Neodiprion lecontei: one gene and its partners. The protein of the gene in region 1 purifies or fractionates together with the protein of each later gene. This does not show direct contact. Links are inferred from orthologs where the notes say so. Each region holds a gene or a part of one and is shown on either strand. Other genes may lie near its edges.

Region 1 (3,149 bases):
TTATGATTGAAAATTGTAATGAAAAATTGATGCGTCTCGTAATAGCATCGTCTTTGATCGATTACTTTCTTATTTCTGAGATAAACAAACTGCGTTTCGAGGTTAGAATTGTTTATTGAATGACAACTTCGGTTTGAAAATCAGTTTTTGACCTACTGCGTATTGTTTCTTCACAATTCTGGGTACAGTACGAATGTAAAATGTTTGTTTCATTTACTCTTTGTTAAATGTCAATATTTTTCGACTCTTAAATCTATCGAGTTTAATATTTAGGTAACCGTATTTGAGGTTAAGTTGAGATGAAGCTGTTCAGTACCTAAAGTCCGTATTTTAACTAAGCGACATGGATATTGAGTCCTGCTATTGGCTCAATTTTTACGATATGGCACGATGGGAGTGGTTGCTGATTTTGAGCCAATGATGTCGCTCCAATTTGCATGTAGCTGCAGTGAAAAGAAACCCTAATGTTTCATGGAAATATAATACATGAAATCCTAATTTTCTCAACTAAAGTAGAATAATTCACAAAAACAAATTAAGCATTTTCGTTTCATAGAAATTTTTATTCGGATAAGAATATTTGTTTTCTTAACATTAACTTGAACATGATAAAACTTAAAATATCGTGTAGGGGAAGTATAGAATAAAATTGTGGATTTTCTTCCGTCAACAGACAAGCCTGTAGGATATATATCGCCCGGCAGTTTCAGATGGTCTGATAATTTTGACGACCTGTCCACGCTTTAGGCCAAAGTAACGGGCAACTGGGTCGCCGGCTTGTATGCGCATGAGCATATTCTCCTTGAGCTTGTATCTTGAGAGCAATTCTTGCTTTTCTTCAGGTGTCATAACAACATGCTCGGGAACCAGTTCGTGCTCAGTTATGTTTATCAGTAATTCAGACTCCAGAAATTGTTCTAGTATGTACTTTGGTGCCATGTCGACTAGCGACTGTTTAGCTGAAGGTGTCATTCCCTGCTGAACGACGATAGTTGCTCTGAAAGACATGAAGATGACATGCAATTAAATGATACAAAGCAGGCCATAAGATACATATGCTTTTTGTTCCATCAATCCGTATTCCCATTACCTGTGAATTTTTTCTTCTTGCATGCGCTGGCAGTATGTCTTGATTGTTTTTATGCCGATCTTGGGTTCGTCTGGAAAGAACACGAACAGCTGATCGGTCGGATCGTCGTTGTGGGCGACAAGTACGATAAGATCACTTCTTGCAGGTCTTTTCTCACTTGGTTTGTCCCCGAACTGTTCTTTGAATTGTTCCAGGGTCTGATCGAGCTCGTCCTGCGTTACGAGATAACCTCTGTCGTGGCATAATTGCATCACGGTCTTTCTTATCCTCCACAATTTGTACGTCTCAGCCTCGTCGTCCATTGAAAATTAATTTCTGCTTAGATTGGTACTTTGAACGATGATTTTCTGCCTATTTTTATCAATCTTCTGCAGTATTAGTCGCGTTTTTGTGGTTAATCAAACGTCAAACAGTCCTTGGTGCACTGAACGCGTGGTTCGTGATTCGAGAAATGCGATATATCGATGTTCACTTCTCGCAGAAATGTGCCAACGGTCTATATCGATAACCACAACTATCGATCAATTTTGAATTGCCGTATTTTGCATCGATGAACGTTTTAAGTAATGAAAAATAAGCGAAAATAAGGAATTAAAATCAATCGAACAAAGCACCGTATTATTACACGACTTATACATCGCAGGGTTATAATAATTCACTCTGAAATTCAGTAGTCAATTAGCGGTGTGGATTGTAAGAACGTTCCATTTTTTGAATTTAATTTGAATCCTGTCGATATACTATCGATAATCGGATATGCGTCGAAACTCGAAAGCGCTGCAGAGTTGTCCGTTAGCTGCAAGATGGACGATGATCTTCGAGAGAGATCACAAATGATGAGAATTTGCGCATTGAGGTGCGGCAACGGGAAATAATTTTAAACGGTATCTGGGCACACCAGTTTTTCACATTTGACTCAAGTTTTCGAGTCTTCTGCTCACGTTCAACTGGCACGAAGAGGATTGATGAAATGTCATGCAACGCGTGTCAAACAAAATTCACCTTCTTTACTCGAGAGGTAATTATAAAAATTCGTACTATCAATTCCACTCTTGCATATCGACCGAGTGATTCATACTTTGATTATACAATTACGCAATATTTGTTTAGAGTTATTTCGTTCTCTTCTTTTTTTACCCCCAAATTCCTTATTCTATTGTTATTGTTTATTAGCATGCACAGCAACAAGTTAGAAAAATTTGACACAAAATTTGCCATATTCATATCAATACTTTTCAATGTTTCTTCCAGCACGGTTGTCCAAGTTGCCATTTTTCCTATTGCGCCAAGTGTCTCAGGTACAAATTTGACCTGCCAGATATTGGCAGCACAAAAATATGCGGCAAGTGCTATTATCGGTTGAAAGACGGGGTGGAGAACAAGGCAGAGGAGAAGGTTCAGTCTGAAAATTTAAAACCTCAACTCTCAACACCGTCTGAGGGACAACCGTTGTCCGTCGAACAAGTTGCTCCAATAGATATTACTCAGAAGTACGCAAGTGGAGATGAAGAGATGGAATAACTTATTTCAGTGTCATTTGTTCAATTACTACATCTTCAATGATAAACATTCATTAATCTTTCCAAAACTGCACAGATTAAATTCGCTTGAAAATCCGTCCAAACCACCGATTGTTTTGTACAAAAAGGAGATTGGACGATGGGATCGCCTGAAGTCTGGACTAGATCCAGCGGATCAGAATATGGTTGATCGACTTAGGAAATTGAAAGATGAGGACAAACCTGTGCCTCAAACTAGCTTGGAGGAGATTAGAAGAAGGCTTGCTCTGCTCAAGGATCAAGACCCTAATAATCCTGTTCCTCAAACTAATGTGAGCTGAAATTAAATACATTGCAATTGTATATTTGTATGCTAGTTCAACTAGCTCATTGACTTTTGTTGCTCCCAAATTTGCCACTTCTCTTCAAGATCCATTCAGTGGATACGAGGTCGGATGAACAAAAGACTGCAGATTTGATAAATGAGTATTTGGAGGAACTTAAGCTGTCTTCGGATGTAAATTCGGATGCACAGATCGAGGACAGGCTTGCCAGATTGA
Region 2 (3,048 bases), on another chromosome or scaffold:
CGTTGCTTAATTTCATACAACTTTTTAACAGATTCATTACTTTGAGCCAATCCTGCCAAGCCATAGACGGTATCCGTGGGCAACGCTATGACGTGTTTATCTTGAAGCAAGCGAACGGCCATAGCCACATTCTTTGATCCATAAGCAAACCCGATACCTGAAATACCGGGGTGTAGATTTTTTAGCTGCGTCTCGAGCGACCTCAATGTTTGTTTCACTGGACCCATGGTTTTTTTCCTTACTTCATCAGAACTCATCGTTGGTCTGCTGCGAAATAATTTCAACATTCTTCTTGATTATGACAGTAAATTGATCGACGAGTCCTGAAAATTTTCAGTCTTATCTCTACGTGAATAGTTGTATAAGAATCTCTGGTAAAATAACCATTAAAATGTTCTGTACTCAAATTCTCATTAAAATAATGATGTACACAGATTTGAATTGTAGAAGTGATTGCTCAATATTTATCGCCTCCAAAAACCAATGAAATTAAAGACGTACAATTAATCTCGCCAATTGTGACTACACTGTGGATTGCAGCATCTGTAAAATGTGGTCATTGGCTCGTCGGCAGATCTTGTCTGTATCTGCATGAAGTAGGCCCGAGAATGCGAGCATTTAGGGCAGCGTTCATCTGTCGCATCGACGTTTTCCCACGCAGCGCTGCCACCTAAAACGTCGTCTACTTCCTTGAGCTTTGGATAAGTCCGACTTGTTATTCTTTGCGATATATTAAAAATGTAAGGGCAGGTATTGCACGCAAATCGGTAATTCGCCACTCCCGATTCGACATGTAAAATATTTCCACAGGTTGGACAAAATAACAGCATATCACATCTGAAAAATGGGAATTTAGGAAATAAGAAGTTCGCATACAGGGAGGTTAGGACTGTAGAAATTCGATGAATTATTTGTCCACAAAGGCAAAATGATGTAACAATGAATTATGTTTAAACTTACCTATTTAAATTGTATACCACACGCGAAATTATTCACTTTTTTTGCATGTTATTACTGGATTACTAACAGACACGTGATAAACGACAGAACGAAAATTCTTTGAGTGATGCGACGATGCGACGGCGCCGTGTGTATAATGGACGTGGGGGAAATCCACGAGGTGATCGACTTAACTCGTCTTCAAGACCGTCAGGAATCAAGTCCACGCGCAAAAGGCGCGGTTAAATTCGAAAGTTATTAGGTAACATAAAATATTGGCTATCAAGATGAAAAACAATTTTCATGGATATGTGCGCTGTCAGAATACGTGAAAAACGACGCACAAAGGGCGCGATTTGTGTACATAATAATTGAGAATGGTTATTTGTGTAGCTGTGAAATAAATCACTCGAAACAATGCCATCATTGTTCAAACTTATATTTCACGGATTCTTGACAGTATCATGTACGAAAATGTTTGAGGGGTCCTCCAATAATACGTAACGCTCGAATGGAGGCTGGATCCTCAAAAATAACGTCATGCAATATTAGAATGGCCTATCAGTAAGCCTAATTCGTCAAAGCCATATCAACCATTCAAATGTCCAAGAGATCAAGTAAAAACTTATTATGGCAAAATATACATTGATGGGATTAAAAAAATCTTAGAAATAGTGAACTTTCAAATAAGTTTCTCTCGAATAATTTTTTATCGTGACAGACAATTTACAGACAACTTGTATGCATGTTATTTACGAATTAGACAACCTGTCGGACATTCGTAAAATTATAGTTGGCATACAGTCAACGGCTATCAACTTCAAATGTGCATGTTTTGTCTCTGTTAAGGGGAGAATACGGTGAAATTTTGATAATATCAAGTTTTTGATTTTTGAAACAGATAAACAAAAGGTGATCGAAAATTCCTTCCAGCAGAATTTAGATTATGGTAGTATGTGTCCAGAGAAAAATTTTTAATCACCTGCGATGAAAGTGTATGCGCAAGGAACTTTTGGGAGTGTTACGCTGGAAATTTTCTGCCAAAAGTTCCTTGCACATAGACTTTCATCGCAGGAGATTAAAAAATTTTTTCTGCACACATGCTACCGTAATCTAAATTTTGTTAGGTGGAATTTTCGATCACATTTTTTTGAGCTGTTTTAAAAATCTAAAACACCATATTATCAAAATTTTACCACAGTCCCCCCTTAAATTAGTGGACTTGGTTTTTGACCAGCGATTACTCAAATACAAGTCGCCTATGCTCTACTCGAGTAATCATATTTATCGTGTTCTTCAGGTTTTTATTTCAGGTCAAACCTTGAACAAAGATGATTATACTTACTGATTGAATACCAAGATTCGCGTAGTCAAGTACCGAATTTGCATTGGCTTTCAAATCGCAGATGTGAATTAAATACACTGTGGTTCAAATGAATAAGCTTCATCCGTGGTTCAAAAATAACGTGTAAATTCATACACCTACTACAGAATGACCTGACGCGATTCTACTTGAGAGATGTACATATATACATACATGCATGCATACACACATACATACATACGTACGTACATACATACGTACATACATCCATAAACAAGTGCGAGACTTACCCATTGCCAATCGCCTACACCATGTCAGCCCTCATTGCTCAACTCCACATTTACGACCATACCAGGTTTTCCAGAGATTCGAATCCACAGTTAATTCTCGCAGTTTTTTCACTTTCACTATTTCACTGTTTATAACGTGTCAGAGGCTTGATTGCAATTGTTTCGAACGCTTCAACAAGTCTGGTTTACTATCACTTACACGTTAGATTGCGAAAAACGTAACAGCAAATTCGAACAGTCGCACGAATAAATTTGTGAAAAAAAAGTTGACACTGAATATAGTCACGAACCGATTACACGGAGCACGAAACGAATGAAATGATATTATACTATTGAAAACCAATTTCAGCTCGTAAGATTAGATCACTGCACTGCGTTGATTCTAACGGCTTAACTTATTTTCGATCGTGAGTATGAAAAAATAAAACAAGCAACGACTACCAAACAACGCAGTCGTTTGTTTTGGCCATGTAAAACTAGAGGTTGAATTCATAA
Region 3 (5,096 bases), on another chromosome or scaffold:
TTCAACCGAAAATCAGTTGCAAACAAGAACCTATCTCGTATCAGGGGCATCATCGGAAGAGGCTTTTACATTGGATGTAAGGACTCTGAGCTCTCTCCCTTCTCTCAAACTCTACTTTGTACCGACTAGTAGCGACTACTCTCATTAACCAACCAGGAACAAGTCTTTGCATTAGATGGTTCTCTCTCTCTAAAAAAAAAAAAAAAAAAAAACTCCGTATATGTAAACTGAGTGGAATAACTGTTGCTAAACAGCTGGAGAGACTTTACATTTATGATTACGCTCTCCATGGGCCATAGAGTTATACCATGGGTACTATAGAAGCTTGTAGCCATTCCTTGGTAAAGTGAAAACGTTACAGCTGGGAGGGATGTCCCGCATCGAACGAGGTTTCATTATCTCTTTCACAGTCATCTTCATCACCAAACTAGCTTCTCCTTGTCCTCACTTTCACAGCATGCCACTTCTCTTCTCTTTTTACTTAAGGTGTTGCGAATTTCCGTGAAATACGGGTTACGTATTGTGAAACACGTGACAAAAATTCACTTTTATTATTTTATTTCGCATGCACGCTTGCGTGGTATCACAGAAACCAGAATCATACATTTTATATCTCTGAAGATCTGTCAGCGTCAGGAGAAATCGAATTATCGTTATTTTTTTGGAAAATTCTTATTGCTAACTAACTGGATGTCTGTTGCCACCGCTACCAGCGTGTCCAAGTCACTAGGCTCCAAATTATAAGACATTAGAATCATAGTTATATACTTTGACGCTCGGTCTGTACCCAATAGAAACCTCAACCTGGGCTCGGAGGTGCTCAACCTGCGATAAATTTAAAGACAAATGCACTGTCTTCTAACAAATTTAATATATGAAATGATAAATACGATTACTCAATAGTTCATCTGCTACTCACAGTCTTATAAAAATAAGGCCAAGAAGGTTCCATTCCGCAGGCTTAGGGATAACATTGCTAGCCGATAACGAAAAGGTGTTTACAAGAGCTTTCACCGTTTTTCCACACCCGTTAGTGCTGATACATCCATCAACAGCAAACTCGCCTCCAGCCAAGGTACGCACCATTTCTGGCAACCTAAAATATTATACAAGCGTTAATGCGAGCTTTAATTTGGAATATCTAATCTCAATGCAGAACCATCATTACACTTTATCAAGTTTCTCCAAAATTATACGTCTCCTGAGTGTTCTAGGCTCACGCTCTCCAAGCATTGGCATGAATGTACTGGAATCATCTTCCTCATTAGCAACTGCGTTACCTGATGGTGGTTTTGTTGCATCTATCAAAGTTTGGCCTTGGTAAAATGCTCGTACCTACGAGAAATAGACTACTAGTAAATTTGAATTGGATAAAGACAATTTGTTGCTGACAAATGACAGTACATCCAATCCTATTATACCTTGACCTCTATTTGGGCACTTGCTTCTTTCAGCACACTGTAATCTGGTAGAGGTTTTAAATCGCGTTTACTATCTTCCTCGTCAGTGTCTTCATCTACTTGGCATGAATCGATTTTTTGGCATAGTTCAACATATTTCTTTTGGAATTTACTGTCCTTTGTATGTTTCGTAATTTCATCTATTTTTTGCTGCTTCAACCACACATCTCCCGACAACAGAGCCAAGGAATCCAAAGTAAGCCACTCTTGTAAATAATGTTTGATACGTTCAACAAACCAGCTTGAATCCACCTTACTTTTCCTGACATCTTGTTTGCCATGTACTTTGCGCGTTTTATCTTCTTTTGCATTTACTTTGGAAATATTGTTTATGCTTGATCGAACATCTTGTTCAACCGCCAAAGTATCACATTTATTACTTTGGCGTGCAACTGGTTCTGCGGGTTTGTGAAGATTGGCTATTTCTTTAGCACTTACATCCCCTTCAACGATTTCGGTGCCTGATTTATTTATGGAATTATCAGGTACATTATTTATAGTATTTTCAATCGCATTATTACTCTCTGTTGATGGTAATTTGTCAGACACAATAGCTTTATCAGTTTTTTGTATTTCGCATGAATCAACAGAGACGTTTTCTCGTCCCAGGTAAACTTCATCGCCTGGAGTACTTTTTTTAATTAATCCAGTGGGAGGTAGCAGCTGGAAGCAAGGCTTTTCTTTCGGATTTCTCAGCCACAGTGGGCTAGTGAGCATTTGTTCAAGAATGTAATTTGTTGCTCCATAACAGTTATTGCTGCAGAAATTTTTTCTGCGACTTACATCATAAACCTTATTATTGCGAGTCGATATGTGATATTTTTGATTTATATTCAATTTCAATGGATTGTCGCACAGAGCATAACCACACCGTCTCAATATAGCTCTTTCTTCAACTACGTCGTCCATGTGACATCGATTGATATGCTCCAGCTGTAGAAGAAAATATTTCATAGTTTAAACGGTGTATACAATACAAATTAACAACGAAAATGGTATTTCATTAATATTGCCGAATCTTGAGCAACCATTCGTCTAACATTTTCCAAAAGCCAAGTTTGGTCGACTGCATCATCTATCAACCGTTCTACAATTGCTAAAGCTCTCGCATCACACTGCCGTTTCTTAGTCAGAGCCAGCTGCAGTTGTTCCTTGCTGGAAATAAAACGAAACGTAAATGTTTTACTTACTACCCAGTAAACTTGCAAAATATCAATTTCCTACCTCATTTTCATTTTTGTTCTGCTCCCATCGTTACGTTTCCTCGACGTTGATGTCATCGTTGTGTTTCAATGTTTCAATGATTTATACCTGTAATATCTGGGACAACAAGGGCGAATTAGCGTGAAAAAGAATTATATTTAGGTTACGCTAGGTGAGATTAGGGTCGGTTTTATCGATGACAAGGTTGTACATGCAATTATAGTTTGATAAGATTCCACCAACAGCCTGACAATTGATTCAGGAATATTTGCGATACATTATTAACAGATACTACATTTGGATGCTACAGAGAAATCTCGAGGAAATTTGAATCGCTCCTTCTAACCTGTCAAACTGACAGCTCGGTTCTTGGTATAAGACAACCATACAAGTTGTTAAAAATGAGTGTGGTGCACACGGAGCATTAAAGGTGGTGGTGCAGTCATGGAGTCTAGATACAAGGAGAACGATCTTAACGTATAGAAGAAACGGCCGAAAATGTGGAGAAATAATTTCTGCACTGGAGGCGCTGCCGTTGATAATATCAGGTTTATTTTTTTAAATTTAATAAGAGAATGCCGTGATCACGTGATTCAAGGAGCAAAATAAACAAAAAAATAAAAAAATAAATAAATAAACAAATCAAACACACTGACGCCACCCATGTCGAGCGAGTGTAACTAGAAGTTCCATCCGCATTCGGCATCTTATACCATTTTCCAAATCCCTGCCGAACCAGCTTCTGCTGCTTCTGCTCGCCGTGCGAACTTGCGGGGCGAGGTGTTTCGTGTGTCAAGTGGCAATGTTCCCCGATACGTGAAGTAACGTTACAATATAAATATTTGAAAAATGTATTCAAAATCCGTGATTGTTTCGTGCATAGTTGTGCTCACCTTAGCTTCGCTAACTCAGGCGAGGATTCACAAGCTTGAGATAAGGGTGCGTTGACGAATTATATTTTTTTTCAGGAATCTTTATACGCGTACTAGACACGCGCGTGTGTTGTACGTACAGTAGTACCGTCTCATCGGTGAAACATTCCAAAGGAAAATAATCAATTTCCTTTATTGCAGAACGACGTCAGAGCTTACATCGCTCTCAGCACATTCGGATTTTACGAAGGAGGCACTTTGCGCGTAAACTTGACTAATTTTAAGGTGGAACAGGGCGCCGAGGATGCAGTGGTAGGTTTGACGTTTAACCCTCGATTTACCTGGCATACGTACACCTGGTGTACGTATACACATACATACGTACATTCACCCAGCAATATTCATTCCATCACCGACGCTTCACCTTTTCCGTATAACTGTATGGTGAGATGAGCTGTCGTTAACATTCAGAGGAAAATGAGTATTTTTTTATACTTTGACATATACTAGTAAATCGTTTCTTCTTCCCAACTTTTATCGAACCTGTTCCATCAGGTTGCAATATCACGTAGATGTGAACGCAGGAAACTTATCATTTATTCCCAACATTGATAATGTTTTTACATCTTATGAATTTGGTATCTAATGTGGGAGATGTAAGGTTTTTCCAAGATTATACGCTTTGCATTCCGACAAATGTGATTGCACAAGCATGTTTGCTTGTAACATTATGAATACGAGTATTGTACTCAGTGCCCGATCATCTGATAAATTGTATTACGTGCCTATTTATTACAGGACAATACTAAATGCAACTGCCATTTATAACACTATAACTATTTCAGTTCGGATTCAGCTTGGAACGAACTCTCAGCGATGTTAGTAATTCGTACACAGAAAATCAACGAGAAAAATGTCCATTACTAGATGAAACAGCCCAGCTGAATGAGGCTGTTTATTTTAAAATGGATTTGAGGCATTCAATGTAAGTATAATTAACAAGGAAGGAAAAATATACAGTGCAGTCCAAACTTCGTTAAATCAGTATTAACGTGGGAAATTCATAGTTTTAATTTTTGCTCCATAACAAATATTTACAGAATGAACGTAACCTGCAAGAAAGACTTGAATCTGATATCCATTCACCCGAGTGAAGATGTGGTACAGGTTCGATTAAAGAGAAACGCAGAACGATTACAGGATACGGCCTCTTCTCCAAGAATAGACCATGCCATGTCAGATTTTGGTAAGTCTCATTTCAATTGTTCATGTAATGTGGTTCGTGTCGCAGATGTGGACGTTTTTACTTTATTCCACAAGTTCTGTGATATTGGATTAGAGTAACAACTAACATCTTGTATCATCGAAAGCATTTTCAGTAGTGATGAAATATAATTGAAAAAAAGAGAGAACTTTTAAGTATTACTACAACACTACTGGCAGAAGTGCCACCAATGATTTATTCCTCAAGAATTTGTAGCTAAAATTAAATTACATATGAGTATGGTAGTAGCTGCGTGAGCCTACAGGTGAAAAAGTCATACCGGACACAAAACTGATA
Region 4 (4,999 bases), on another chromosome or scaffold:
GTCATCTTGTTCCGGTACAGTCTCGCGGTAAAATCCGTTGGCCTTTTGCATTTAAACTTTTCATACAACGTTACTCTGCCCAAAAGTCCAGCGAGCTTTCAGCTCCATTGTGTCATATTAAGTTTAAGATCTTACACTGTGTAACTCCGTTTTTGTGACTTTAAATATTGAACTTATAAAATAAATCAAAGTTAATCAAAGTATCCAAATACATTAGAGTCAGTTATTCCGCTAAATCCTCTCACCAATCTACGCTGCAAGTCATCACATCCAGAATATTCTCAAAAAGGTAAGCCAATTAATTAAATCTTTTATCCAACAATTACTCCTCCTTCGGTTCGTTCGATTAGAGCGACAGAATGCCCGTTGCCCGGTGTATTTCAATAATTAATCGGTAATTGGTGACCCAAACTACTGATGTGAGTCTAGCTGTAGCTGTGTGTGAATGTTTCCGGTGTCTTACATCTGGAGATTTCCACTAGGTACCTTTCCGACGTCACACCACCGCGATATCCTAGTCCTACTAAACCATACTGAACTCTATTATGTCATTGTGAACAACCAAGGATTTTATTTTATTGTTAAGTTTGAAAAATTATTATGTTAAAAACTGGTGCGAGGTTGCTGTGTGACTAAATGTAATCAATTCTTTATACCTGGTGGTAATGTTACATTCTTTGTGCAAGTATTTCGACTTGAGGAAGTCTGTAAGTATTTTGAAAGAAACCAGTCCCTGCTTTAATTTTTCCTAATTTAATTATTACGAAATCTCTATCCAATATATCAATATCTTATGTAAAAAAAAATTGGTAAACTTTTCCCAAACATAAGATAATGCAAGAATTCGTAAAGAGATTCAAATAGAATGTGTATGTAGGTTGTGAAAATAAGAGGACAAGCTTTTTTTTGGAATGCTGTACACGGAGCGAGTGAGAGAGTGGTCTTATTTGATACCTCTCACTCGGCTGAAAGCCAGTCCTATCCCTTACCATTGCAGCGAGCCTTCCAGTTATATTAGAGTTCGGTGGTCAATGACGCTTCTATTTGCATCTCTTCTAGGTCTGGAGGGTAGAAGTAAGGAGAATCGACTTATGTGGGAGACAAGTTGAAAAAGTGTCCAGCTGTAAGCTGCAAGTAACAGTTCAAGAACCCACCAAAATAGCGCTAGCGCAGCTAAAGGATATGACATGAATTTAGCAGTTGTAATCGGAGTGAAGTGAGCTGAGTTGAACAATTCAATATTTTTGGTGACTAATGTAGTTAATGAAATCACAGTATACAAAACCTCAACTATTTACGTAGCCCAAAATAATTTAGTGAATATAACCCATAAAACTGCTGTGAGATAACGTGGAGAGTGATTTAATTTTTGTGAATTGTTGATCATACTTTTTAGTGATTTTGTAGTGTGTACTGTTATAAAATTTTTTAAAGTTTGGTCAATAATAGGTAAAGTTTGCATAGTGAAAAGTTGTCCAAGTGCACGAAAAATGAAAAATAAAAAGAATGATGCGCCTCAGTCTCTGTCTTTTTTCCGACCAATAGTATGTAAAATTTGCACATGTAGTTCTCTCAAATTTTGCACATGAACTTCTTTTATTTTTGGAAATTAGTTTATCAAAAAACAAAATTTATGTCAACGTTTCTCCATTTCAATATCATCTTCCATTTAATATTTATCGAATCATTGAGCGCTTAAAAATGTTGCTTTCTTTATTAATGTTTATTTTGAAAAATGTACCATAACAAAGCGGAAATCTTTCTTTCCTTGTTTACTTCTCTATCCAACTCAAATATCTTTTGTTGCTTTCTTCAAAATATACCCTTCTGCTACCGTAACGCCATCTTCAGTTGACATCTTTCGACGCAAGCTTTTTCGTACACAGAGACGGTTCTCCTTATCTCTACCGTCCATACACTTCTGGGGCCGGGCGGCCGGGTAATGAACGGTTGTCGTTAGTATGGCCAAAGCGTGGTCCTTGGTAGATTGTGTCCAATTTTCGGTTGTGCTTTGGTTTGCGATGTCTTTATATTAACACGTAAAATTATAACGATAGAACAGCGATAAAATGGGTGAAATGAAATCGAATGATTACAACAGTCTCAAAAGAGCTGAAAAATTCAGAAAAGTAGCCAAACATATCGAGGTAAAGTACCATCTCAAATATTTGTAGGTTATAACTTGATTTGATGTAATCCTACCTCGCCTAATAATGCAAAACTACAAATGCACTACGCATACCGGGCGGGTATAAATAAACGATTTTAATCGGGTTATTTTCAAGATTTTATTACTCAACAATCTCCGAATTCCAGGCAGAGGCAACTTACGGTCAAACACTGTTATTAATGACTCGATTATGTATATTTTGTTCTGAAATTTCAACAAATTTACCATATTTCTAGAACTTTATATTAAACATTTTCAAATATGTGCCAAAAAAATTGAAAGTTTTTATAAATCTTGAATGTATCTGCTTAGGAAAATATGGGGTGAAATTCGCACTAGTCGCAAGAAATGAAAATCCTTAACCAAGAAATCAGTTATTCATCACTTAGAACTCTAGTGCAATCCTTAAAAAGCCAGACTTTGCCTGTTACTTATTATGTCAATATAACTTGTTTGATGTTGTAGGATAAGTGGAAGCTCGTCCCTGCATTCCTCAAAGGCAAAGGCCTCGTTAAGCAACACATTGATTCGTTCAATTATTTCATTAATGTTGAGATAAAAAAAATCGTCAAGGCAAATGAGAAAGTATTAAGTGATGCTGATTCCTTGTTCTACGTCAAGTAAGTAGTATGACTTATCAAAATCGTGTATAATACAGGATGTCTAGCGACGCCGACTTCCTGGAAAACCGGGAATTTGAAAATGCCCTTGAAAATGTGAGAAATATATGGGAATTTCAAATAGCAATATGGAATTTTTTCATCAAATTGAACATGCATAAAATTTTGACTTAGGTCTAATAATGAAAGTGCTTACTCGAGTCATTTCACATGAAAATCATATATACGAAATATTATACTAGGTGTATAAATTAATTCTCGGCCCCTAGATTAAATTGATTTTACACCTATTTGAATCGAAAAATTTTTCCGTTATATAGGGCGTTTTGAGGCGCCATCTATGAGCTATCAAACCACTTAGTCCGATTGTGGTCCGATTAATCTAACCTCAAAAAACATAGTAAACAAAGATGTCGTTCGACAAGCAGCACTTGAGGCACTGCCTTCTTTTCGTCTTCCAACTTACAAGAAATCACAAGAAATGATTTGTTCGGCCTTGGGAGAGAGTGCTGTATCTTATAGCACATGTAAAACATGGTTTCAAAGTTTCGGGATGGAAATTTTGATCTCCAAGATGAAGATCATCCTGAAAAGCCATAAAAGGTTGAGGACGAGGAGTTGGAGAACCTACTCAACGAAAATCCTTACCAAACGCAAATGGAGCTTGCTCGAAAACTCGAGAGGATACAAAAGGAAGAGCGTTGGGTGCCCCATGATCTTACCCCAGCAAACAAAAGTCGACGCTGTGAAATTCCAATGAGCCTGCTGACCAGATTCAAACAAAAAGACTTTTTACATAAAATTGTGGCTGGGGATGAAAAGTGGATATTGTACGATAATCCTAAGAGACGAAAGTCGTGGGTTTATTCGGGGGAGCCGACAACGAGCACTGCAAAACCAAACATCCACGGGCCAAAATTGTTGTTGTGTAATTGGTGGGATTTCAAAGGTGTAATGTATTATGAGACAATCAAACCAGGGGAAACCATTACTGCTAAGCGTTATCAGGTGCAACTGATGAAATTGAGCGATGCTATCGAGGAAAAAAAACCCTTCAGCGGTAGTGGACCAAGGCAAGTGATTTTGCTGCAGGACAACGTGCGGCCATACACAGCAAAAGAAACCCTGAAAGTTACCTTCACGTTGGGCTGGGAAATTCTCCCTCATGCGGCGTATTCTCCAGACCTTGCACCTTCTGACTATTACCTTTTTCGGGCGCTACAACATCACCTGGTGGATACCCAGTTTCAATCTCCTGAGGAAGTCCGTCAGAGCATTGACGACTTCATCCAGTCAAAACCACCATCTTTCTTTCGAGCCGGGATCCGACAATTGCCCGATAAATGGAAAAAATGCGTGCAAAGTGACGGCGATTATTTTGAAGATTAGATCTGTATTCATTTTTTTATAAATAAATGTCAAAATTGTTGAAAAAAGGCCGAGAATTAATTTATACACCTAATATATTAACTCAATGGCAATCTACATGCAGTGTACGGAATGAACATAAATATGAGAAAAAGTATTTATGTGAAGGTATATTAGAATTTTATCAAGCGAATATTTTTGGTCAAGAAATATTATATCTTGGTACATTTCATACATTGTATGATTGTCAATCGACAACACTCGAGCGAGAATGAACATGCATAAACTCACTCGGCATACGGCACGGTGCCACATCGCAGTTTGCTTCGAGAGCATTACTTAATTTCAGTCCGGACCTATACAGTGAATCGAAGAGTATCAAACAACAGAGTGTCAACAAAAGAAATTGTATGACAAAAAAAAAGCAAAGAAACAAATCGCAAATTACAAGGTAAGTGTTGATTAGCTTTAATCATAGAATTTTGTGACTGTACATTGGCATAACAATATTTAGCCAATTTTGATTGTTCTGTCCTTTCCGAGCCGCTTCTAGGTCGCATAGGCCTCAGATTTTACTCCTCAATGCTAATACCCAAGTGCCAGCAGTTAAAAATACTGATTTGTTTGTTGTTTTTTTTTGCTAATATAAAAAAAAACACCTTTTTTACGTCTAGATTTCTGGCTATATGTATTACATGTGCCATAAATTTATATTATTATTTAATTTCAAATGCATTTCTCTCGTTGTAATTGTTATTTCATTGTAATTGTTATTTTTTTAATGCCGATAAGATGGAAATCTTTATGTGCTTAATATAAAAAAGTTGACATCAAAATTTAA

What was found.
Region 2: the proteins of DNA-directed RNA polymerases I, II, and III subunit RPABC1 (region 1) and DNA-directed RNA polymerase III subunit RPC10 purify together in Homo sapiens (affinity purification with mass spectrometry; 5 studies listed by BioGRID and IntAct, counting the BioPlex papers as one, with this or other methods). This does not show direct contact. The link is inferred for Neodiprion lecontei from reciprocal best matches to the Homo sapiens genes POLR2E and POLR3K.
Region 3: the proteins of DNA-directed RNA polymerases I, II, and III subunit RPABC1 (region 1) and putative RNA polymerase II subunit B1 CTD phosphatase RPAP2 purify together in Homo sapiens (affinity purification with mass spectrometry; 4 studies listed by BioGRID and IntAct, counting the BioPlex papers as one, with this or other methods). This does not show direct contact. The link is inferred for Neodiprion lecontei from reciprocal best matches to the Homo sapiens genes POLR2E and RPAP2.
Region 4: the proteins of DNA-directed RNA polymerases I, II, and III subunit RPABC1 (region 1) and DNA-directed RNA polymerase III subunit RPC2 purify together in Homo sapiens (affinity purification with mass spectrometry; 7 studies listed by BioGRID and IntAct, counting the BioPlex papers as one, with this or other methods). This does not show direct contact. The link is inferred for Neodiprion lecontei from reciprocal best matches to the Homo sapiens genes POLR2E and POLR3B.

Annotation. Positions count from the first base shown.
Region 1 is NC_060266.1:3,237,298-3,240,446, reverse strand, and holds DNA-directed RNA polymerases I, II, and III subunit RPABC1, read right to left. Parts: upstream 1,551-3,149; 5' UTR 1,393-1,550; coding exon 1,091-1,392; intron 998-1,090; coding exon 667-997; 3' UTR 543-666; downstream 1-542. Other genes in the region: abscission/NoCut checkpoint regulator, read left to right, coding at 2,061-2,108, 2,342-2,580, 2,687-2,921, 3,020-3,149. UniProt on the Homo sapiens protein: DNA-dependent RNA polymerase catalyzes the transcription of DNA into RNA using the four ribonucleoside triphosphates as substrates.
Region 2 is NC_060260.1:9,405,915-9,408,962, forward strand, and holds DNA-directed RNA polymerase III subunit RPC10, read right to left. Parts: upstream 1,108-3,048; 5' UTR 961-1,107; intron 838-960; 5' UTR 831-837; coding exon 504-830; downstream 1-503. Other genes in the region: yrdC domain-containing protein, mitochondrial, read right to left, coding at 1-257. UniProt on the Homo sapiens protein: Core component of RNA polymerase III (Pol III) which synthesizes small non-coding RNAs using the four ribonucleoside triphosphates as substrates. Can mediate Pol I proofreading of the nascent RNA transcript.
Region 3 is NC_060261.1:547,174-552,269, forward strand, and holds putative RNA polymerase II subunit B1 CTD phosphatase RPAP2, read right to left. Parts: upstream 3,151-5,096; 5' UTR 3,010-3,150; exon of another isoform or gene 2,781-3,009; 5' UTR 2,741-2,780; coding exon 2,685-2,740; intron 2,616-2,684; coding exon 2,489-2,615; intron 2,394-2,488; coding exon 1,422-2,393; intron 1,336-1,421; coding exon 1,169-1,335; intron 1,097-1,168; coding exon 920-1,096; intron 826-919; coding exon 654-825; 3' UTR 542-653; downstream 1-541. Other genes in the region: protein GPR107, read left to right, coding at 3,513-3,602, 3,737-3,847, 4,381-4,520, 4,636-4,781.
Region 4 is NC_060260.1:21,914,508-21,919,506, forward strand, and holds the start of DNA-directed RNA polymerase III subunit RPC2, read left to right. Parts: upstream 1-1,971; 5' UTR 1,972-2,069; coding exon 2,070-2,147; intron 2,148-2,635; coding exon 2,636-2,790; intron 2,791-4,999. UniProt on the Homo sapiens protein: Catalytic core component of RNA polymerase III (Pol III), a DNA-dependent RNA polymerase which synthesizes small non-coding RNAs using the four ribonucleoside triphosphates as substrates.